2 linked regions of the Arabidopsis thaliana genome follow. The protein of the gene in region 2 interacts with the protein of the main gene of each other region in a pairwise test. Each region holds a gene or a part of one and is shown on either strand. Other genes may lie near its edges.

What was found.
Region 1: the proteins of AT1G75880 (region 2) and MEB2 interact in a two-hybrid assay, tested with the Arabidopsis thaliana proteins (one large-scale study listed by BioGRID).

What each region holds. Positions count from the first base shown.
Region 1 is NC_003076.8:8,258,688-8,271,217, reverse strand, and holds MEB2 (Vacuolar iron transporter (VIT) family protein), read left to right. Parts: upstream 1-5,469; 5' UTR 5,470-5,599; coding exon 5,600-5,828; intron 5,829-5,986; coding exon 5,987-6,649; intron 6,650-6,753; coding exon 6,754-6,807; intron 6,808-7,005; coding exon 7,006-7,185; intron 7,186-7,329; coding exon 7,330-7,391; intron 7,392-7,482; coding exon 7,483-7,947; 3' UTR 7,948-8,086; downstream 8,087-12,530. Other genes in the region: SS1 (Glycogen/starch synthases, ADP-glucose type), read right to left, coding at 358-516, 607-646, 744-799, 908-1,016, 1,226-1,350, 1,602-1,691, 1,786-1,848, 1,939-2,030 and 7 more; GMI1 (gamma-irradiation and mitomycin c induced 1), read left to right, coding at 9,817-10,152, 10,247-10,279, 10,371-10,457, 10,711-10,766, 10,838-10,921, 11,175-11,247, 11,451-11,687, 11,782-11,850 and 3 more. UniProt on the Arabidopsis thaliana protein: May sequester excess cytosolic iron and manganese into endoplasmic reticulum to reduce metal ion toxicity. Not essential for the accumulation of ER body components, including PYK10.
Region 2 is NC_003070.9:28,486,334-28,498,863, reverse strand, and holds AT1G75880 (SGNH hydrolase-type esterase superfamily protein), read right to left. Parts: upstream 8,416-12,530; 5' UTR 8,301-8,415; coding exon 7,991-8,300; intron 7,694-7,990; coding exon 7,560-7,693; intron 7,474-7,559; coding exon 7,240-7,473; intron 7,121-7,239; coding exon 6,865-7,120; intron 6,760-6,864; coding exon 6,566-6,759; 3' UTR 6,400-6,565; downstream 1-6,399. Other genes in the region: AT1G75890 (GDSL-like Lipase/Acylhydrolase superfamily protein), read right to left, coding at 3,817-3,998, 4,100-4,355, 4,525-4,758, 4,865-4,995, 5,516-5,900; AT1G75870 (uncharacterized protein), read right to left, coding at 11,750-12,106, 12,192-12,332.

The sequences.
Region 1 (12,530 bases), on a different chromosome or scaffold from region 2:
ATATTTTCTAGAGAAGTGTTTGGTTTTTTATAAACTTAAGTCATATTAGTCTACTCGTATAATGTCTTATCAAAAGAAATCTAGTTCAGATTCAGATAATTAGGAAAAGAGTAAGACACACATGTCATAACCGAAAGAAAAACATATTATAACCTCATAACTAAAATTCTATACCTCCCCAAAACAAACACCATACGAGTTTAAGATAATAGACATAGATAGATACACGGTTTAATGTGGAAACGTTGAAAACCATAGATTTTCGATAGCCGGAAAAGGAGGTTCCACACTCTCCATCTGATTGGTCAGGTCTGGTCTGATCCGGTCCAACTCGGTTTGGTTCAGTTTATGTTTGGTCTAGCTGACATAGGGAGGGTCCATGAAAACCCACTGAAAAACTTGCTCATACTGAACGGCAGCGTTTTCCCAAGAGTAGTTTCGGGTCATTCCTCTTCTCATCAATCCTTCCCATGACTGTTTATACTCTCTGTACGTTGCTGCAGCCAACCTCAAGGCCTGAGATGTATGTAACACAACAAGGTCATATACCCACAAAAACCATAAACCACAAATCCTCTTGAGAAATGGGGAGTTAGATAAACTTACCGAGACCATGCTATCTTTCGACAAGGGAGTGAAGACCCACCTGAAACATTAAACCCACAAAAGAACGATTCATAACAACACAAATCATTTGAATTTGATGATTTTTTTCCTTTCTCAAAAACAGATTTGTTTATTACCCTGTACCAGTACCAGCTCCACCTTCTGCATAAGGGTTGAAATTCTCAACCGTATCCTGAAAACAATCATGATCCAGTTATAAATCATTACCCTTTTAGTACCAAACTATTCAAAACAATTTGATTGTATTTATCCGGGTTCTTGAAGATTTAAAGAAACTCACTCTGAGTCCTCCAGTGCCATGAACAACTGGAATGGTTCCGTATCTCATTGCGTATAGCTGATTTAAACCACAGGGCTCGAATCTCGACGGCATGAGAAGAATGTCACAGCTGTTTATCGATAGTTTTCAAGACAAACAAACAAAAACAATCCAATGAGATATTTGTGGCACTGTGAAGGTTTTCTACAACAGTTCCTTTATATGAATCATATGATAATCCATAGAATAGATCTCCCTGGACAAAGCAAAGATTCTCTATTGATTTTATCATGTCTTCTGGAATTTTTGAAAGTCTAAGCTAGAATGATTTGTTTTTACCCGGCTGTGATTCGATGAGAGATGGGGACATTGAACCCAACCCAACCACGGAATTTGTCTCTGTATGTTTCCTCCATACTTCTCATCCAGCTTTCATATTTTGGGTCACCCGAACCAAGCATGACCTGCAAGCAACCAAACCACATTAAATCATATCAACAAAGATATCTCATAAAAAGAAACAACTCTCTTTGACTGAAAAAGGAATATTAGAATGCGGAAAACCACTACAGATTCCAGTAAAATTTTCCAATTCTGCCTCAGATTTAAGAAATGTGCGAAAACAGCTACTAAATACAGGAGATGAGAAATGTGTATCACACATGTCACTGGTACTGCATGTGTTCCAGTTAAACCGTTCAATAGACTCACTTACGAATTGAATGTCATCCACCATGAGATCAGGACCAGCGGTTTGGATCAGATCAATGCCCTTCTGGTAATCAAGTCTTCCTATAAAACCAATCTGTAAAAAGTATTAAAACATTCAAGCTACATGAGTGATTATAAGACAAAATAGAACATTTCTTATAAAAATAAAAGTGGCTTTGAAATATCACCATAGGACATTCAGGCCTAATGGGGAGACCCAATTCCTTTTGTAGTGCCATCTTGCATTTGATCTGCGATTCCCAAAGCAGATACAAAAAGTGAATTCCACCATAACAAAGCATCGGATTTTGGCACTTTTACTCAAGAGAACTTCACATCACCTTCTCGGAGACATCATCAGCAGAGTAATGGAAAGGAATGTGTTCATCCGTGGATGGATTCCATTCATCAACATTAATTCCATTTGTGATCCCTGTAAACATCACCGGAATATCAGCTCAGAAAGATGTTTTAAGTGAAAGATTATAAAAGTCGGGGTTTATAGAAACAAGTACCATTTATAACACTTTTCCGACTAGAAAGCAAATCTTGAAGACCATAACCACCTTCAACAGTAGTGATTTCCCATGCATAGCCCTGAAAATACAGAAAACAAATCCCAATCAGAATACCAACCCACACAATGTCAGAATCATTACCGTAAGTGAATGTGGTCATTAATATCAGGGATTATGTTTACAAAAGATTCATCACCTGGCTCACAGTAATGATACGGTCAGAGGTCACAATAGCACCCTTGAGAACATTAACCGCTTCACCGGTGTCAAGGGCATGAGTTCTTGCCCACGTTGGAAATACCCACCCGACTGCTCCATACCATTCCGAAGGCAATCCCAAGTTGGTGTATGTAGCTGCTGGCTCCACCCCCTTTTAGGAAAAGAGCCAATTTATGAAATAGAAAAATAACCTTTCAACTTAATCAAACACAACATACATAACTAACTAATCACAGTAAGCTAACTATGGGGCATTATACGAAACTTACAACTATATAAAAACCAGAAGAAGAGATATTACATATACAGGTCTGGAAAAATGTTTATGAATTTACCTGATGAGCGAGGTTATGGATAATGAGAATGCTTCTTGCATCCTTATAAACTCCATATGGGCGATACTTTGCGGCCAAAAGTCTGGAATAAAAGAAGATACACGATATAAGTTTCAATGTCCACAAATCAAAGCAGGATTCTGCACATCCGTTAAAAGATAAAGCCTAGAGTATAAGGTAAAGAGATCAAGAAAAGGTTACATGGGAACAAGGCCGGCATGCCAGTCATTGACAAGGAAGAGTGATTTCTCTCCATAAGTGAACCCTCCAAGAGGCAGCACGAGAGGGGCTTCACATGCAGCATGGCAAAGTAACGTGAACCGAAACTGTAATCAGAAAATGTGTGAGACGACGCACTTTTGTTGTTTTAAGTAGACCACATGACTTAAAACATAACATTTACACAATAAAAGAAAGTTATAATTATAAACCAAAGTCTTTCTTTGGACAATGTCAACAGTAGTACCTGATTGTCACCAAAGGCTCCTTTACTATCTCCGTAGGGATTACCAGGTCTATGGTAGGATTTGTGATCAACAAAAACCTAAAGACAGTTTACAAAAACAACACAAAATGTTAAGCAATGGCGTTTGTCAAAACTCCACAATAATTTATGCTAGAAGAGATTAGTGGTTACCCAATCAACACCATCTCTATACTCATGATAGAAGGAAACTTCTTGAGAACCACCAAAGCAATTTACTGTTACACGTATCCCCAAATCCTTAGCCCGGGCATAGTTCTTGTCTGCAGCAGTTCCATTTAAGTACCGAGGAGAAATGACCATAACACGATGCCCACGACCAGCTAAAGCTATCGGCAAAGAACCACAAACATCTCCTAATCCTCCTGTTTTCGAGTAAGGAGCCGCCTCGGATGTAACGAAAACAAGGTTATTGACAACTTCAGCTTTTCCACTCGGAATCCCAACCTCTGCAGCTCCTTCTTCAACAGCTCTATTTCCAGGTACGCCAAAGTCAGCCATTACAATTTGATCAATAGCCTCTTTCTTCTCTTCATGATGTGTAATTTCTCCTGTGCTAGTGCTAACTGTTTGTTGATCACCTGTACAAGGAAAAATCGAGTTCATCTTCGAGATTCTGAGCAAAATCGTGCTACTTTATATCAGAATTTTTTGAATATGAAAGATTCTGAAATTTGAAAAACGTAATAGCTTTGAATCTGAGGACCACAAGCAAAATTCAAGAGAATCATTCACTTTTTACAAATTGAAATCACATTCGATAAACCATCACAAAATCCCTAGATTATGCACAAATCAGAGAATAAATCACTGTTCGTTGAGGAAATTGGAAGAAACACTATGAAGAACTCAATCACGAGTTTAACGACATTTACCAGGAGGAGTGAGCTGAAAGCCAAGAACGGAGCCAGAACCATCTCTCTCTGCGTCTGTGATAAATCTCTCTTCATCAGACTCACGAGAGTCACCGGAGAAGGAAGAAGAACGACGAAGCAACAATGACCGTCCGATACTGAATCTCCGTCGAAAACGAGGAAATCCGAGACTGGCGATCGGACGGAAATGGCGGATCCGGTTGAATCCAACGAACGGCTCGAATTTAACGGAGCCACTGATTTGAAGAGACGCCATTGATCAATTAAAGAGTGAGAGTTTCTTCGACTGTTACAGATTTATGTTTGATTTCGTCTGGTTGTTGGGGAAGATTGAAACCACCTGTGGCCTATCTACTACGTAAAGAATCTCCTTCCAGCTTCGCCGACATGCTTCCAAAACTTTAAAGTTAACCACAGAGAAAGAGTACACTAAAACCTTTATTCTTTGCCAAAACAAATTTTTTTTTTTTGTTTGATATTTTAGTATGAAACAGAATCAATTTTAATTTTATTCCTTAAAACACATTATCATTTCCATAAGAGTCATAACCAACATAAATATGTAAAAATTTCGAACCAACAAAAATAATTTCAATAGTTGCAACAAATATTTTCTGATCTATGCAATTTTTGCCTTTGGTTTTATAAAATTTACTCTCCGATATTTTAATGGTTTTATTGTCCCAAGAGGATCTATCAGAAAAGCGCGAAGATCAAGAACGAGTAAAAAAAAGATCACACACTTCTTGCCGAAATTGGAGCCTCATATTGTGCCACGTGTAAATTAGTGGGCTCCAGTTTATGTGTTCCAGCTTTATGGTGATTTACTTGGATTGGGCTTTTGGTTAATTTTATGGGCCGATTATTGTGAATGAAATATATAGGCCCAAGAAACAAATGTCTAATGGGCTTCATAATAAATAAGAAGTCATTAACTATACACGTTTTGAATATGGTTCGTTGTTTCCAACTAACTGTAACGTTTCCCACTTTCCTCGTCATTATGAGTTATTAAAGAGTTGACTACTAGTATTTTTATCATGTGATATTCATTTTCTGTAGTAATTTATTTTACGTGGTATCATACTATCACAGTTTGTATTTATTTAATCAATATTGCACCTTTCGTATTACTTCTAATATTTTTTAATCATTTAAAATCATTTTTCTAAAACCTTATGGATCAATTTCATGACATATACTGATGACAAAAAGAAGACATATACTATACCACACAATTTTTTTTTTTTGTTTTGAAACTGACATATATTAACATGTTTAAATAGAGTGCTAATTAACTATGACACCTTCCCTAATTACCAAAATCCAAAAGTAATCCTCGTTACGAATATTTAACCCCTCGTGCTTCCCTCGTGGGTATTATTTATGTATATATATAAAAGATCATATGATTGGACACGATAATTAGGAACAACTGTGTTTTTTTTTTAAATTTAAAAAAGAAAAAAGAAGAAAAGAGAGAGAGAGACTCACAAATCATAATATCTCCTTCATTAACTCATAATCACTTTAAAGAACATTGGAATCAGATTCATTACATAGGGATTGATATGGAAAAGTCAAACCAACCAGTTCATGTAACCTTGTCCGAATTGAAGGACGGAGATAAAGAAATCGTTGATGCTGAATTTTTGGTTGATCTTCTTGAGAGCTATAGATTTGGTAAAGATAATGTTCCCGCCCGAGAATTTCGATCCAAGGCGGCAGCGACGGCTCCGGCGCCGGTCAACACCACCGAGATAGAGTTGGAAGAGGATAATGATGGATCTCAAGCTCAAGGTACATTAGTCAACTTGTCAGTTTCTTACATGTTTTTTTGTCTTTTAATTTTTGGTACCTCTACTAATTGGTTAGGATCCTAATTTTTAACCGGACACAAACCTGCTTAACCGGTAGATCAATCTCTCGTTTATTTTTGGTATTAATTGCCATCGTAGGTAACAATTCTGTTAGTGAAAGTACATCATCGCTATTTTCCGATTCAGATCCAATAGTACTTGAGAGTACTGTGAGCGAAACCGGTTCAAACGAAGAATCTGAAACCGGTTCAAACGAAGAAAATGGTAATAATTGGTTAGAGTCGAGCTCCACAAACTTGCCAAATGTAGAGAACAAAAGGCAACGGAATGGAGAAGATTGTGAGATAGAAGAGGAAGAAGAAAATAACGAGAGATCATTATCGGATTCAGAAGAGAAGTCAAACCTAGAGAAGTTGCTTGGGACACAAGAAAACTATGAGCTTGGAAATGAGGATGAAGAAAAGAACGAGAGATCATCGTCAGATTCAGAAGAGAAGTCAAACCTAGAGAATTTGCTTGCGACACAAGAAAACTACGAGCTTTACTGTCCTAGCTGTAGCACATGTATCACCAGAAATGTGGTTCTCAAGAAAAGAAAACGAGGGAAGCACGTTAATTCATCTCTGGATCTGAAACCCGATATACCGGTTGTTGAACCGGACGAACCAAGCGACATTGAGGAGATGGAATCACCAGTTAAGGTTTATGTCCCTGAGACTCGGATTGAGGATGATCAAGAAGATAAAGAGGGAACTATCTTTACTTGCTTGGTTTGTGATCTAAAGTACTTCATCCGGTTAGGTAAATCAAACCTTAATTAAACCGGTTCTGAGTCAATTCTTTCCAGGTTTTCTTGGTTTTGTAAACTTGATGGATCAACCCTGGTTTTATATTTTAAATTTCAGGAACAAAGTTCTTACAACTTGATTATATCAGGGGAAAACCGGTTGAGAAATCAGGTATGTTATCGTGAATTGAAACAAAAATATTACTCCTCTCACCTAAACCGGACTAGACAAATTGATTTCAATTTGGGAAAAAATCAACAACGGTTTCTTTGATCATAAAAAATGTTTATAGGCTTATCTTTGGTATTTGAATATTCGATAGAACTACATATATTTTGTACCCAAAGAAAATTTGCAAACTATATGCAGTTGAAGAATATATAGATGTGAGGAAGAGTATAAACACCACACAATCACCACCACAAATTCAACCGGACGGAGAAAGATTCGCCATTGAGTTGTTAAAGAGCACCGTCTACGGCGGTCTCACTGAGACCATCACCAGCCTCGGCGTTGTATCATCTGCTTCTGCCTCTGGTTCCTCCACCAGTAAGTCTCTAGACTCCATTTTCCTTTTAGTTAGCAAACAAATGCGAGATTAGTTTATCGGCTATCTAATCATCAGATTGGTCCTTGTTATAAATAGTAACACTATATAATAATTTCGTCTATTATTTTTTGTTGTTGTTTCAGTGAATATATTGGCTCTTGCTGTCGCAAATTTGGCCGGTGGGCTCATCGTCCTCGCTCAAAACGTAATTACTTGAACCAAAAAACGTTTTCTCGTGCCACAGATTGCCTATGGGGTTTCTTATTTTAACCGGTTCGGGTTTTTTTTTATTGCAGTTTCAAGATCTAAGAAACAGTTCAGATCAAGAGAAAGATAGGTACGAGGAATTGTTAGGGAGACGTACTAAATCCCGGATACATATCTTAGTAGCGGTCATGTCTTACATTTTCTTCGGCCTAATTCCTCCGTTAGTTTACGCATTTTCCTTCTACGAAACCGGAATCAAGAACTACAAGCTCATCTCGGTTTTCTTGGGTTCTCTGGTTTGCGTAATTTTGCTCGGTTCGATCAAGGTCTATGTCCGAAAACCAACCAATTCATGTGGATCGACTAAAGCTTATCTCAAATCTGCGGCTTATTATACGTCTATTGTTGTTGCTTCTTGCGGAATCTCATACGTTGTCGGAGATATTATGGGAGAGTATATCGAGAAGCTCAGTTTGGTTGGTTTAGACCAGATCAGTATAACTTCACCATGTTATGGAATTAAACCCGAGGAGTGCCGGTTTACTTCCTTTTAATATACAGTGGGACTAAGAACCGGTCTGACCAACGTTGTATAATTTCTGTTCTAATTACTTACTAAATCTCTGTATCTTTTCTAGTAAAAAATCAAAACTAATGCTTTCATAGAATAAATGTGTTTTGAGGTTTTTCTTTAATGATGTCTTATCTCTTTCCGAATGAAATAATCGGAATGATGCGGTTTAACTGCGGATAAGATACAGTAAAATTTAAATAGTAACAAAGATATGGTTTCGTCACCATTCAAACTATGTGTATAACAATGTCAAGCTCCATAGGTATATAAGATTTGTATAATTGTAATTGAGGAGAGATTTTGACATGTTATATTGTTAGCCATATACAACAACTTTTTATATATTTAACCAGTTAGTTAAATCGTTTGATTCATTAAAAAATGAAATTTATTTATTTTTAGTAAAAAAATAAAAGATAAAGATATCTTTTGATCAATAAATACAGTCCACATATATATCAAGTCAACAAAATAAGATCATACTCCCAATTTTTACTCAAAATATAATGTAATTAAATGCTAAAGATATAAATGTAAATACAATGTTTTGGGTAATTTGATGTGACGACAAATAAAAAGAAGAAAGTATTAAGCTGACGTGTGATAAAGGAAGTGCGTGCGCCCGAAGCTTTCACACCCATTACACATTTTACTCTCTCTCACAGAGTACACACTGTCTCTTCCTCTTCTCTACTCTTTCTTCTTCCTGTTTCTCTGTCGTTTCTTCCAAACAAAGATTCTTTTTTTTTTTTTCCTTCTGGGTTTTAGAAACAGAGAGTCACTCTAAAGGTAAAAAATCACTCCTATTGTTTCTTCTTAATAAGGATTTCAGATAAATTTTTTTTCTTAAAAAGGTCGACTTTTTTTTCCTGGTTTCGTTTTTTTTCGTTGATCTCAGAGAAATGTGTTCTGCTTTTTAAGTGTTCTTTCTGATTTTCGTATTACTATGATTTAAAAACAAAAAAAATCTAAACTTTTCTCGTCTACAGCTTCCCAAAAGAAAAAAAGTGAACTTGGTTTTAATATTGTGTTTATTTTCTCTTCTTCGTTCTGATTCAGTCTTATTCTTCTGTCAGATTTTGTCTCCTGGGTTTTTTGGGAGAGAAATCAGTCGACGAAGCTAAGGTATATATACTCTCTCTCTCTCTGATTCTCTGTGTTGTTGTTGGTGGGTTTTACTTTACTGAAAATCGAAGCTTGATGTGGAATTGATTAGCAACTTAAACCCTAAGTATTCGTTTGTCTTAGGTTGGAATAAAGTCTCTGTTTTGCAAATACCCAATTTTTATTCCTGTCCTGTCTTCTTCCATATCATTGCAGTGTATCTAAATGCGAGTTACTTACTATATCGTCTGTATCTTCTTCCATTTCGAGACTCTCTTTACTTAAATTGCTGCTTTTTTTTTAAGAAGCCTATGCGTTTGTTATTGATAAAGTTGTAGCTTTTCTTCACGATTTGGCCTGTTACATTTTCATGTTATATGCAAAATTCTGTGTACATGCGTGTATGTTTAGTAGAAGTGTAGAACAAGTACTAGATTGATATGATATTCATAGCTTAAATCTGTGAATGCCTTACACAGTCCTTTTGATTTTCAATCGTTTAGAGGCAAGGAAGAAACAGTTTGTACTTTTGATGCAGCAGTCTTTCTTGTAATTGTTGTAGGTTCGTTATAGTAAATCATCAATAATGATCTAAAACCATTCAATAGCTGTGAGACTAATTCAATTAGAGTTCTTAGGAATCAATAATTTCCATGTTTAGCTTCCACTGTAATCCTTATCGTGCCTAATTTGTAATTCAAAAAAGTTAATCAGTTTCATGGTTGTTTCTGTCTTTGCATTTCAGATGAGCAGCAGGCGATCAGTGAAGAGATCATTGGTTCTTGATGATGATGACGATGAGGATATATTCTACAACTTCAAGGTCCTTCTACCTAATGGCACTAGTGTGAAACTCACACTGAAAAACCCAGAACCGGAGATCTCGATGCAGTCTTTTGTCAACTTGGTGAAGAAGGAGTATGATAATGCACGAAAAGATTGTCTTTTGATGTCTAAGAGGATGAAGGTTGATTGGAACTCAGGCGGAAAGTTTCATCTGGAGTCAAATGGTGGGAAGATGAAAGGCATTGTTCGCTTTGCTGCGTTTAAGCCTGACTTGTGCCACATAATACGTCTTGATGTGAGTTGTTCTTTCTTTGTTCAAGTCTTTGTCTCTTTTTGTTCCATCTTCTTATTTCTGATATTTTCTGCCTCAATTTCTATGTATGGGTCAGGACGGTTCTGGTATAGCTTCCACCATGTATGAGGTCAGTATTATTCTTCTGAAACATATACGCTTATTATCTCATTGTCTCCTTAAGTTGGTCTGTGATGATGGTTTACAATTGTTTTTTGCAGAACTTGTGGGATTTGACACCGGATACTGACCTACTTAAAGAGCTACCAGAAAATTATAGCTTTGAGACAGCTCTCGCGGATCTAATAGTAAGTGTTTCAGTAAAATTACCTGCAAAGATAGAATGCCTAATGCAAAATTTATGTTTGTTTGAGGCAGCTTTCGCGGATTCACATTGTTGTATTTGCTTGTTTGATTTCTGAAGTAAATACCATGCGTTTCACATTAAACGACAATTTTTCGCAAGTGGATTCACTTACTCTCGATTAGTAACTAATTTTGAGATTATTTCTCGTTTATTCCTGATATGGAATCCTAATTTTTCTGTTGCTTGATTCACAGGACAATTCCTTGCAAGCTGTGTGGCCTTATCGTGAAGGAGCTCGAAAACTGATTAGGTTTGTTTTTATGATAGGAGGTTAAATGACCAAGATTGAGTGTAACCCTTCACCTCATGTGATTATTGCAGTGTGGATATATCTGGTGACCATATTACAGTCTTTGATACCGGGAGAGGAATGGACAGTAGCGAAGGAAACTCTATTGATAAATGGTGAGATTGTTTCTTCAATTTCATTCAAATGCTAACAGAACATAGAAGATATTGATAACCTGTTACCCATATGATCGCTAGGGACGGCTATTGGGTTATGATTATGAACTGAGAAAATTGTTCTATAGAACAAACAACTTCACATATTTTACGTATTGAGATTGATATTGCAATCAAGTGTTCTTTACTCAAATTGATACTGCAGGTTTGATTTTTTGGTGAACATTCTTCACATTTGGTTTAAATTATGCAGGGGTAAAATAGGGGCCTCACTACATAGATCTCAAAAAACCGGTGCCATTGGAGGCAATCCACCATACCTTAAGGTATTTCATTAGTCTCAAAGAGCTTAGGTTCATTTCCTTCTTGCAATTTTTAACTTTTGTGTTTAAAATATTAGACGGATAGTTAAGTACTTTCAGTCAACATATGGATGACTCTGTAGACATGTTTCAGTATGAATGTTCTTTCTGTATAACTACCTGTTATCTTACTGATTTGAAGAAAGATTTACTCTTTTTCTATGTAGCCATATTTTGGGATGTTTGGATACGGAGGTCCTTATGCTTCTATGTTCTTGGGAAGGTGCGACTTCAGCTTCTGTTTACCCATACTTATCTGCATTGTCTTGTTACGTCTAACTCTCTTCTCTGTCAGGCGTACTTTGGTGTCTTCTAAGACAAAAGAGTCCAAGAAAGTGTTCACTTTGCAATTCAAGAAAGAAGCATTGATTGACAATCGGTCTATCGTGGGAAAAAACTGGAAGGTAATATGCTTCTTCATCTGTAAGTTTAGCTCATTTGTTCTTTCTTGTACTCGTCAATGTTTCATAAACAATTAATTCTGAATATCTTGTATAGACTGATGGTGGCATGAGGGACCCGTCGGAGGAGGAAATGAAGTTATCCCCTCATGGAAGCTTTACAAAGGTACACCCTTTTTCAAAATTTTCTGCCCTTGTTCCCATATGACGTGAAAATAACTTTCTATATACTATCAGAGATGCAGAAACAAACCATATGACAGTTTTATGTAGAGATTGTGTGTATTATATAACTTTCTATATTAGAAAAATAACTGTCATATATATTATGTGTGTTCTAGAGATTGTGTAGAAACTTCATGGTGTTGTTCTCAGCTCATATGACAGTTTGATCTTCATATTTTCAAATTTATTCTCGTATAACTGAGCTACGATATGCTATCAACTGCTTATCTGATACTAATGGTATATATTCTTTTTAGGTCGAGATATTTGAATCAGAATTTGACATCTCAAAGATCTATCAACTCCAGTGCAGGCTCAAGGATATTTACTTTCCTTACATCCAGGTATTCTTAGGGTATTGATAATACAATATATCACAATCCATGTTAATTGCTAGGGATTTTGTTAACGGCTTTAATTCGTTCTTAAAGCATGTTAATCTTTACCAAATATGGATCCGGTGATGCCTGAAAACTGTGCTATAAATATGGAAAAAATGATGAGTTTCTGATCGGTGATATATGTTTTCTAATAGTTTTGCCTTGCGACCATTTTCTTGGTGAGTTTTTCCTTGGCTCGGATTAAGTGTCACTGTTTTAATTTGCTTTATTAACCTGTAGT
Region 2 (12,530 bases):
CTTTTTGTTAATAATCCTCGAGAAAACTGAGATAGTGTACTCACTACTCTCTATTTTTTGGTTTTGTTTAAATTAGATAGTGTACTCTCTCTCAACCATACCAGATTACCAGTCTTTTTTTTTCTTCACATATATATACTTGGCTAGGTTGGTGCACAAAAAAAAAAGGACTACTTTTGACAAAACATAACTATTAGGGCGTATATCGAAATACATTATTGCCAGCAGAATGTGACAGACAGATTATATGACAGACAGGTAATATTACTATATAGTGCGTATGTGTATCAACGCTAATTAAGAGGGGATTAGTTAATCGCTGTCAGAGTTTCTAGACTTTATAGGAGCATTAAATACTCTGCTTGCTCCATTTCATATTTTGGTTTTGCCACTAAAAGATAGTCATTTCATAAAAGAGTAGGTTTTATTTTGATTTGGGGAAAAAACATAAATTCATGATATTTTATTATTGTTACTTTTTTGGTAAAATGTTACTTAATCTTATTATATACACTAAATTTACTTCAAATAAGGCTACATCAAAAACTTTTATTTATTTTTATTTAGTTAAATTTCGTTGACTTAAATGTAGATTTAGACATTTGGTTGTGCTCATATCATATTTACGTCAGTGTGCTCATAGTTCGGTTGACTGGAACTGATTTCGTTTGAATGTAAATTGCATTGTCTATATTTTAGTTATTAGGTTTTTGTCAATTATGATGCGATAAGTAAAATCTGAATTTTTAAGAGATTTTTGAAAGAGTAATCTTCGCCTCGGCCAGAAAATCACCACACACACACACAAAAAAAAAAAAAAAAAAAAAAAAAAAAAAAAAAAAAAACTAGCACTACCATTCCACGGAAAACAATATCTGATGAAACATATCATATGCATCTCTTTGGGATAATACATCAAATATATTGCACCAACATAATCAAAATGCATACTCTGTTTCGTAGGATAACTAAGGTAGATCTACTTTATTTGTGACTCCTACAACAGACTGAGTGACTGACAACTAAATGGCCCTATATTTCAGACACTCAGTATGACAGTATCAGAATCTTGTTGAGTAACATCCAATGAATTTAGAAGACATTCACATATACGTTAAAAGAGAGATAATACATGGAAAATTCAAAAAAATTAAAAGCACTTCAAAATACACAAAGTTATAAACAACTACATATCATATCAATAATGCGGTTATTTAACCTTCTTTTTTTCCGACCATTTTGACTTGAGTGTTTGAATGTTTTCTGAAGTCATAACATCGGTGTTACAAGTAATCTATCTCTGCACAAATGAGTATAACTTCAATTATTATCAAAAACTTATGGTATTAATTACTCTACATATATAGTAGATATTTGTATTTAGAATCTCATATAACAATCATGGTACGTTAAAAAATATGATATTAGTAATACTATTTAATTTAAGAATCTCATGTTAAAATCTTTGAGCATGTGATGTAAACTGTTACCAAACTACATATTTGTAGGTCATCATAATTAATACAACCAAGACTTCTAGAGCCCATCAAGCTCAGCAATATAGAATATTTTGTTGGTATTATTTTTGGTCTCTAGCATAACATATCATTTTCTTTTTGGATAAATCAATATCTAGTTTTAATTATATTTTAGAATCCTATAAATTAAAACCGACATAGCGAATCATATGATAAGAACGAATTAGAAAAAGAAAAAATGAACTAAGACGTAGGGACCGGAGGGTAGATGTAGATCACAAGCAATAGGTGATACTACTATTTCCAGTTAACTGAGTGTGAAGAAGGTAACTTTCTCTATAAATATGTACACGTGAAAAGGTACAAAAAAGACTTTACGATGAAAAAGTATTGTGGCTAAAAATATATCAAAAGCAAAATGTTAGCATATTTCTAGAGAAGTTGCTGTTAATGCTAGAACATAACGATGGTCCAAAACTAATAATTATAGAATATAAATAGTAAGGCAGAGCGCAAGTATCCGAAAAATCATGCTAGTTAATTAAGACTATGATATATCGGCAAGGCTACTAGAATGTGAAATTTAATTTAATGATTCACACAACCATATTATCTTATCTCCCAACCACTATCTAACATAATTATGTTTCTTCTATAAACATGTACAAACAAAAAATATATAAATATCTTCAAATGCTTTAGGGTTTATCCGTCTTATATTGCTTTTCATCTTTTAAATGAATATCATACTACATTAATTTGTAGATAGTTGCAATATTTATAATTTTTCTTTTACAGGCTGCCAAAAAAAAAATAGTGGATTAAAATATCTTAAGTGATTTTGTTAAATTAGAAGAAATGTTTGCGATGCATGCTCAAATAATATTTTAATCCGTAGGAAAAGATTATAAAACGAGCAATTTTGATATACATAAAACAACGATATTATAGATGCTATACTATGTCTATAGTATTCACAAGATAGACCATGTACTATCGTAGTTGAATTCATATATAGTAATAACTCGACAGCGAGAAATTCGAGTAATGACCAACTAACTAGTTCCATGTATAATGAAGACCAACGAAACCAAAAAATAAATTGAAGGCATTTGTGTTTTGAATTCGACTTGATAAGCATTCATTATTGTTTTTGAAATTAATTTGATCATTTATTAGTGGGTCCAATATTACTCACAGACTTAATAGGTCAAGATTTTGATCCTATCGCGTGGTAGATAATTTAGAGTGAGATGGTTAGTGACTTACTCTATTACATTTACAGCCAATTGTTTCATATACTAAAAATCAAAATGTTCGGTCTTAATTTTATTTAGTTTTACCGGTAATGTGGGTGTTAAAGAATTAATAGGCCGAACCAGTCGTGACAAATGGTGCATGGCCTAATAAGCTATCTTCAAGTTTAGATATGTGGTCGAAACAGAGCTGTACCTATATCTATTTTTAAGGTACGTACATTAATCAACTTTTTAAAAAAATCTATATCTTTTCATTTGACCTAAGTTTACGATTTTCTTATATAACAATTTTTTAGGGTTTTTTCTCGAATTAGTAAAGCAAACAATTATTGAAACAACAGCTAATAATATTATGTCTTTTTAAAAAAAAAAAATGTCTTCTCAACTCAATATCTCAAATCAGCTCCATCGCTTGAATAGGCTCTTTCAAGTTTCAAGTTTCAACTTGACCTTTTCTTCTTTCTCATTGAGTGGGCTCTCAGCTCTAGGCCTCTCGTTCAACCTCCTGAGTTCAAATTAGTTCTTTGTTGTTGGGCTATATTGCCTTCGATAATTGTGGGCTTTCTGGTAACAAATAGGTATGGTGGTGGGTAACTCCTACTAGCAACGTACCAGCATTTTAATTTCGGTAATAGCCAAATTTTACAAATTTATACGCAAAGTTATCTTAATTGTCTGGAGATGGCACACAAGAGATGGGCATTGGATCATGCCGCAAGCGATTAACTGTAAATAGTTCGACGTAAGAAAAAAGAAGATTTACAGGCATAAGAGAAAGCAAACGCACCGAGAAAACATCCAGCAATTTGCAAACAGCAAAAGAGGTGATAGTTCAAAAAAAAAAAATCATATCAATCATTTTTACTTATCTATTGTGTCACATATTATTAAATTTTGTAGACATTTTTCAAACTTTTTTTTACGACTATAGTTTTTAAGGCTTCTCTCAGTCGAATGGAAATTGTCTCAAAATACATAAATCATATTCTTTTGGAAAAACATTTCGAGGTCACGTCTAATAAGATAATAAACATCAAAAGACACGATAAATCAAGCTATGACTTACACGATTGTCGAGATCATACATATCTCTCAAAATATTTTGTGGCCATAATTCTGTAAGTCTTCTCAGTCGGATGGAAACTATCCCAAAACACATATTCATCTCTATTTGGACATACATCAGCTGCAAAGTTGTTGCATAAAAGAGCAACTTCAATTAGTCCAGTTCCACAACATCCTTTATCAACCACCTTAAATCCTGTTACATTAATGAATGACATACAATTTCAATAACTTTTTGATAAAATGGAAATTTTAATTTGAAAATTAATTGTTTATATTAATACGAACGACGATTACCATATTGTCGAGGGTCAAGAATGATATCAAGGAGAGAATCATATATGTCAACGTAGATTATTGTCTTGTCTCCTAAAGTTCTTGACAAAGAACCCAAATTTGCAGCGAGCTTAACATTGTAGAGCTTTGTTGCATCATTGAACCTAACAACACAATTTCTTGTTGGCCCTCCTGCTAAGGTTCTCTGTGATGGGACACATCCTACTGGTGGTGCACCGAATACTTGTATTCTCCTCGCTCCATATTCATGTAATTTCTGTGAATACCACATCATTCAAAAGGTTTAGAAAGATAAAAAGGGTAAAGGTAATCAAAGCAAAATATTAAAATTTCTACGTCAATAATAAACTCTTACGACAAACGTGAGCATTAAATTTGATACTATATAAATAAGGAGATAGTTCATTAATTATTTTCATACGTACTTGAGCAAAAGATCGAGCATTGTCGGCCATAAGAGTGGTAAAGGAAGCGACGTCGTATTGTTGTTGAACAGAAGGAAGACCAAAGTAGGTGTTGGTTATATCATTACTGCCACATATAACCATGAACAAACTGTTTTTAATTATGAGCTTTGTCCTTTCTTCCCCAACCATTTTCTTCATCTTCTCTACATACTCTTCGAATAACTTCAGTTGCTGCGATAAAGCTATTCCTCCCTTTAAGAACAACAATGGTTTATATATAAAAAGGTACGTCTAATTACAGCTTAGAAGTAATCATATTTTGTTTTATAGATAGTGTAAGATTTAGAAGTTTGATTACCGATAATTGGGTTGTGAAGGGAACGTAACCAGCACCACCAGACGCAAATGTTACACCGGTTAAGAGATCTTCTGGTTTCAAATTTGGATTTCGATATGCCGGTATACTTGGTTTAATTCCGAATTTTCCCGCTATGATTTGCAAGAGAAAATAACTATTACCAGTTATATAAATTTATATCATTTGTCCTTAATTTCTTTGATGTTTCGCTTTTGAGTTTTTATATCTCAAGAAAATGACACATATTGAAAACTTGGAAAAAAAAGAAAGATCATTTGTGTAAAATATAATAATTTTTTTTTGTGATGGTACCATTTTCTGGAGTTTTTTTGTGTACCATACGTATATCTTTAGTCAATAATGTAAATTACATACATATTAACAGTTTTAACACTAGTCAGTCACTTAGATATTATTCAGCACTACGTACGATACAATAAATGACTTTTATATAAGTTTTTTGTTTTGTTTTTTTATTGATAAAAGGTTTTCTATAGATTTTTTGTCTCTTTTCAGTTTACAGGCTTGAGAAGTTTTCAGAGTGTTCACAAAACACAAATGCAACTAAAAGTGTGTGTTTAGTTGTTATCTATTGGGGAAATTCTCGAAATATAATCAAAATTACATCTGAGAAAGCAACGTGAAATTTACCTATAAAATCAGTCGCAACTTTGCCGTTGCAAAATCTTCCGGTAGGAATTCCACCGTCAAAATCGATGCCGTAAGGAGGATAATTGCATCTAGCCAACGTTGTCATAATGTCGTCATTATTTCCGGCATCAACGATTGAATCTCCGAACACAATTATCGCCGGAGTCGTTTCGTTTGGCGGCTGCTTCACCAAAGCGTTGGTGGACGTCTTACATAACAACACGAGAAAGAAAACACACCAAAACGGACTCGAAGAAAAAGAAGTAACGTGATGAATATTTATACTGTTTCGTTTCATTGTTACTCTTTGTTTCTTTGGAAGCTTTTGGAATGATGAGTAAATATATATATGTAGAGCTTGGATCGACATGTGAAAATTTAACATATGAGGACTTTTTATTCAAAATGGCCAATAGTCAAGTCTAGAACATTTAATAACGAACTAGCTAGGTTAGCATCGTAAACCCTTTTTCTTCAACTAAAATAAATTTTGGGCATAGTGAAATTACTATATTTGTCAAAAAAAAAAACAAAAAAAAAAGAAATTACTATATTTGTCAATAAGTTGTCGAAGAAAAACATTAATTGGCTAATTGCTTTCGGGCCTGCGTCATCAGATTTAACTGGGCCTTATACATAATTTGTTTTTGTCAACCTTGGGCCTTATGCTTAATTACCACCTCTCTTTTTTTATTAAAGATATTTATTATGTAATTGTTTATTTGTTTTTGCCTCTCTTTTTGATTTCCTTTTTTTTTTTCATATGTGCAGTGCCAGTAAGGCTAAGCTCCATCAGGACTGTGACAAGTGATTTTGAGGGTTATAATCAATCTTTCTCGTTGAAAATGGAAAAAGAACAAAAATTGCCTTTGTGAAAAGAAAAAAAAGCATATAAAAGTATAACCTTGTATATATATAACCATCAAATATCATAAGAGACCATTACAAGCCTTGAAAAAGAGAAAATTGACAGAAGTGTAATTCTCTCTTTGAGTTGAAATGATTATTTAAAAGTGTATGGAACATGCTAAGAAATAGGAGCTATATCGATTAGAAGAATCTGTTGAGGTATCTATCCAAAAGCTTTGCAACTATAATTCTGTAAGCTTTTTCAGTAGGATGAAAACTGTCCCAAAACACATAATCAGATCTTATGGGACATACAGAAGCTGTATAGTTGTTGCATAGCGCAGTAACTTCTATTAATCCGGTTCCGCAACATCCTTTATTGGCCACCTTAAATCCTATAAGATTCATAATAAAGATATATACACTTTTAATCTTTTATTATAAAAACAGATTTGGGATGTTAAAAATATGTTGAAAATAAAGTAATAATGATTGATTACCATATTGATGAGGGTTTAAAATGAGATCAAGAAGAGGACTATAGATGTCAATATAGATTATTGTTGGGTCTTGTAGAGTCCTTGACAAGACATCAATATTTGCAGAGAGCTTAGTATTGAAAAGTTTTGCTGCATCATTAAACCTAGCAACACAATCTCTTGTAGGTCCTCCTGCTACGGTTCTCTGCGAAGGAACACATCCTATTGGTGGTGCACCAAATACAAGTATTCTTCTTGCTCCATATCCATAGAGTGTCTGCCACCACATAAATAAAAACAAGTTTTAATAAAGACAACATTTTACTAACCTTATTCGTGACATTAGTTATTGCCTTATTACCAACCTTACAAGTTACAATTGTAAATTGTCTTTACCTGAGCAAAAGAACGAGCATTGTCGGCCATAAGAGCGGTGAAAGAAGCGACGGTGTAGTGTAGCCGGACCGGGGGGAGAGTAAAGAAGTCGTTGGCGATATCGTTACTACCACATATAACAACGAACAAGCTATTCTTGATTATGAACTTTGTCCTCTTTTCTCCAACCATTTGCTTCAATTTCTCTATATATTCCTCAAAATATATCAATTGCTGTGGTAAAGGTATTCCTCCCTTTAACAAGATAAACAGAAATTGTTGTTATTTTAACATAACTTCTTTAGATAAAGTTAAATTATGCATAGGTACTCAAAATTAACTACCGCTATTTTGGTTGTCAAAGGAACATAACCAGCACCACCAGAAGCAAATGTTACACCGGTTAAGAGCTCTTCTGGTTTTAAATTCGGATTTCGATATGCCGGTATATTGGGTTTAATCCCTAGCTCTTCCGCTGTAAAAACAAATGAGTTATGAAAATTATAATATAATTATTAGATCACTTCTGATATTCTTCTTTTTTTGTTTTGTTTAAGTGTTTTACTATTTTTGAATTATTATAAAGTGGCAACTTTGTGTGCTTAACTTTATTGTACACCATTTTATAGAGCAAGAAAATCAAACTAGTCACGGACTGCAAATCATTAATCAAGTTCATGCATTCGATAGATATAGCTATCCAATAAAAAGAATGCAAGGTGTAAGACTACAATGAAAATTTTAATGAAAATAAAATTACAGGCAAACTAACCTACAATATCACCAGGGACTTTGCCATTAGAGAATCTTCCCGTAGCAACTCCACCGTCAAAATCAATGCCGTAGGGAGCATAATCGCATCTAGCTTCTGTTATCATGTCGTCGTTATTCCCGGCATCGACAATTGAATCACCGAACACTATTACCGCCGGAACGGTCGTGTTTTTCGGGATTTTCACTAAAGCATTTGTAGTACTTGTCGTAGATAACAGCACGAGAACGAAAATACACCAAAATAGTATCAACGAAGAAGAGAGATAATAAGAAATGATGCGATGATGACCAGAACGACATCGTTCCATAGTTGCTAATTACTATGACGTATCGAATTCGAGGTAATGTGTTTGTGTGTTAAAACTTAAAACAAAACACAAAAAATATTGCTTCTTTAAAAGCTTGGAACGATGGATGTAAATAGTCCTCCTCTCGTTTCCTACGTAGATATTTATATATCCATATATGTCTACGTGATTTGTATGGTTTAGTTGTTGTCATTAATTGAAGACATTGACATTTTTTTTGTCTACATGTTATTTTAATATCTAAGTACGTGTTATGGTTAGAGGATCACACTTTTTGATAATTAACAATGTACTTTTGGAAACAAATGCCAAAAATCCCTATAAACTTTGTTTCACACTTATCTGTTTGATTGAAATATGAATAAAGAATTAATCCTCCTAGGTTTTTCAATATCCAACATAATTATGCATAGCCTTTTCTTAAAGAAACACAAAGGTTTAATGGGACGTATATTAGTGTCCACCCACTAATTTAAGTCTAAACTAGTATATAAGTATGTATTTATATTTGAAAATCGATCATAAATGTATGTAATGTATATGATTGTCCTTCATTCAGTCAATTGTAATTTAAGATTATAGTAATATATATGATTGTGCTAATAACCAGAAGAGAAAAAATGATTGTTCATTCAATCACATGGACTTTGATTAAGAAATTAGTATATAATATTATCTAGTAAAATAGAAAAAATGAATCATCATAAAATGTAAAGTTGTTACGGATTGGCAATAAAAGCAAAGGATAACTAACTTCACGTACTGACTGTTTTAGTTTATTTCACTTCCACATTGGAGTGAAATTGAGAGAAGCAGATGCTGTCACCTTTTTAAAACATTTCACCAATTGCTTTTTAAGAAACTGAGACTGAATTTTAAAATACTGACACTTCCAGTTTTTGTACAAGTATTTCCTATATTTGGTTGTTACAGAGCCAATTAAGTCTTGTAGATCGTACAATTGCTCATACGACTAAAAATATATATACACAGGTCTTATGAATTGTAGTTTTATACCAAAAGATGTGTTTGTTACATTATATACTATTACCAACGTATACTAATGTTTTAGATTTTTTTCTTACAAACTAATGTAGTAATGTTTATTAGTTTCTATATATAATGATAGAGTAGATACTATTACTAATCTATCAACTATTCCCCAAATAATTGTCGACGTCCCCACGTGGTTATGCTCTTTCAAACTCTATCAATGTCTTCCCGATATAGGTGTTAACATCGGTATTAAATGAGATAGGACCCATAATGCCACAATCTGTTCACCGGTGTAGCAGTAAATGCAATTTGAGTTTAAGAAAACACATTATGAAATAAAGACTTCAAAATTCGAGAAAATGAACACGTAAAGTTTCCATATATATATCTTCTCAAAACAGCTATAGAGCCTAGAGATATATAATCATATAAAAGCCTAAACATTTAATTAAAGTACCCGTGATAGCTATCGGTACCGGTTTAAGGACTTCTTTTCTTTTTCGTTCTTTTCTTTTCCATATACAAATTGGTAGTTTGAACTCAGAAGAACGTGTAGTGATAAGTCAAAAGTTAATTAAGCAGTTGCAATGCTCGATCGTATTCATGAGTCACATTGTTTTTCATCCATATTATTTGCAACAGAAAAATCCATAATACTGTCTTTTAAAATATGAAGTATTAAGATTTTCAAAAAACATTTCAATAGCTTATTTTGATAAATAAAGCGGTTGTAAATTTACATTATACGGTTTCCAACCGTCTTGTTTAAGGTCCTAACCGCTTTTTCAATTACGTTACTATGCTATCTAATTAAAGCTAGTACTTTTTTTTTCTAGCAATATTAATCAAACAAGCTAAGCATAGTCCTGTATAATTTTTTTTTTATAAGAATGTAAATATTCATTCTCCTGTTTAGGCATAGTCCTGATTAATTGAATGCCGAGAAATTCTAATTTTTTAAGCTATGGTCCGAAATAAAATCCGAAATGATTATTAAGGTACAACTTGTAAACGAACAAAATAATACTTTTTAAAAATGAGGTAATGAACAAAGGAAATGATTCGCACTAGCAGTACGAAGGTAAATTGGCTCCAATCCTATATTCAAATCCTAGTATAAACGATCATATGGTAAAATATGTTTAACAAAATACGGCGATTAATCTAAGTGATAATATAACAATGACATTCACACAAATCACTTATTTTCATATACTAGTCAATAAACTATATGAAAAAACAGAAATTAAGAGAATAGTATTAAATGATACAATCACATCCACGACGATACAACAATTAACAGGTGCGCATTAATTCATGTCTCTTTCTCATTAGATCAGACATATACCGAATTTTGTTCTGTTCCTTAATTAAGAGATCAACTATGCGTAGTTGCGTACTCATCTTCGCGACCTGATTTTTTATGTCGTGCATAGGGACTTTACTTTACAACGAACCTATACGGTGGTTTTAGTTCGAATACTAAACATTGCAGCACACAGTTAATGTTTTTGCAAGACGTGACTAAGTTTTTATCCACCTGTCCACATGTGTTTCGCCTTGTATGATCGTATCCACCCTAAAACCGGCACCAGAAAACTGATTTCGTAGGGAATTTGAAAAAATTGGTCGTTTGCGCGCTCCTTTGTTTCCTTACCTTTGCAACAACTAACCATATTGTCCATTAATCTTAGACAATCATTATAAGTTTTAACTAATGCAACATTTGTTATTATAATTATACTAATTCTTGATTTATAATCATTAAATTATATGGATTGAAACGAGAAAAAGTTGCTAGTCCCTATATATGGATCAGTTCATATCCTTTTAAATGTTTGTACCAAACCACTAAAAGAAAATTAGTCGTCAACATTTTCACGTATACTAAACATAAAGAAAAGAAAATGTGTCGGTTTTTCATTTCGAATCCTAAATTTTTTCCCGTGTGTGTATGTCCAATTAGAAAATTCATTACAGCTTATCTACAAACATACAAATCATATCATTACCTATGTGCCACTAAGAAGTCTTCATATGAACTTATGTCTAACTATAAAAACTGAAATTTTTATCATCTTCATTAATTGTGGAAAATTAGCAACAATTTATCATTGCGATAGCTTTTAAATATTAGGCTTTCAACCCCATCATAATATGTATTAGGTTGCATTACCAAATTGTTAAATAATCTTGAAAAAGAAAAATAAAACGTAGCATGGTTTACATTATTCATGTTCAAAAATAAAGTGCGCATGTAACAAATATATATATAGGCACTAAAACATATAACCGAATGATATTATCAAACATTTTCCCTCTCCCCTTTATAAACTCAGATGTCTAGGAAGTGGGTACAATGATAAACCACACCGAGTTACATCATGATGATGTCATCTTCACACACACACATGCTTAAAAAACGTCACAACCTCAAATCCCGACTCATTCTTTCAAAGACGGCGTCGTTTGCACAAACGGGTTCTTGCTGTGTCTACAACATCGTCACCATTATCACCAGTAGACGACTCAGCCTTCTCTGCCATTTCCCTCACCCCCAGTCGTCTCGTCGCCCTTTCTCTCTTTTTCATTTCAATAAGTCTCCCCGCAAGGTCTCTACACAAGTCCGTTTTCTCATTCGTCATCTTCCTCCAAAATTCTGCTTCTGCTAACGCTTTTCTCGTACGAATCTCCATTTCTCCACATTGTTTCTTCATATCTTCGATGACTTTGTCTTTTACCCTCACACAAAAGATGGCTCTCTCCTCGAGACTTCTTAATTGACCATACAATTCTCTTGTCATCTGGTTCTGCACATGCATGAATATTAACTATAAATATATGTTGATGAAAAACATAAAAATATCATCGTAATATATAAGAACAGATCAAAACCTGTAACATATGGTTAATGTCTTTTGCTTGTTGATGATATGGAGCAATCAAGCCTAGAGGAATTGCGGGATTCTGTGGGAGTGGGGCATTTGCATTAACTGGTGTTACACTCAGAGACAACTTCGTTTGGGTTTCTTGCATCTTTGATAGACCAAAAGAAGAAGAGAGAGTCTCTTTTACAAATGTAGATGCAAAGAAATGTGTGTGACGAAGAGATTATAATACCCTAATCATCGACGTTGCTAGTGTATTGAACTTATAGGGAAAATCAGAAATGTATGAAACATAGAGACGCGAATGTTCAGATACAACAAACGCGTTTGTAAGAAACTGATGAGA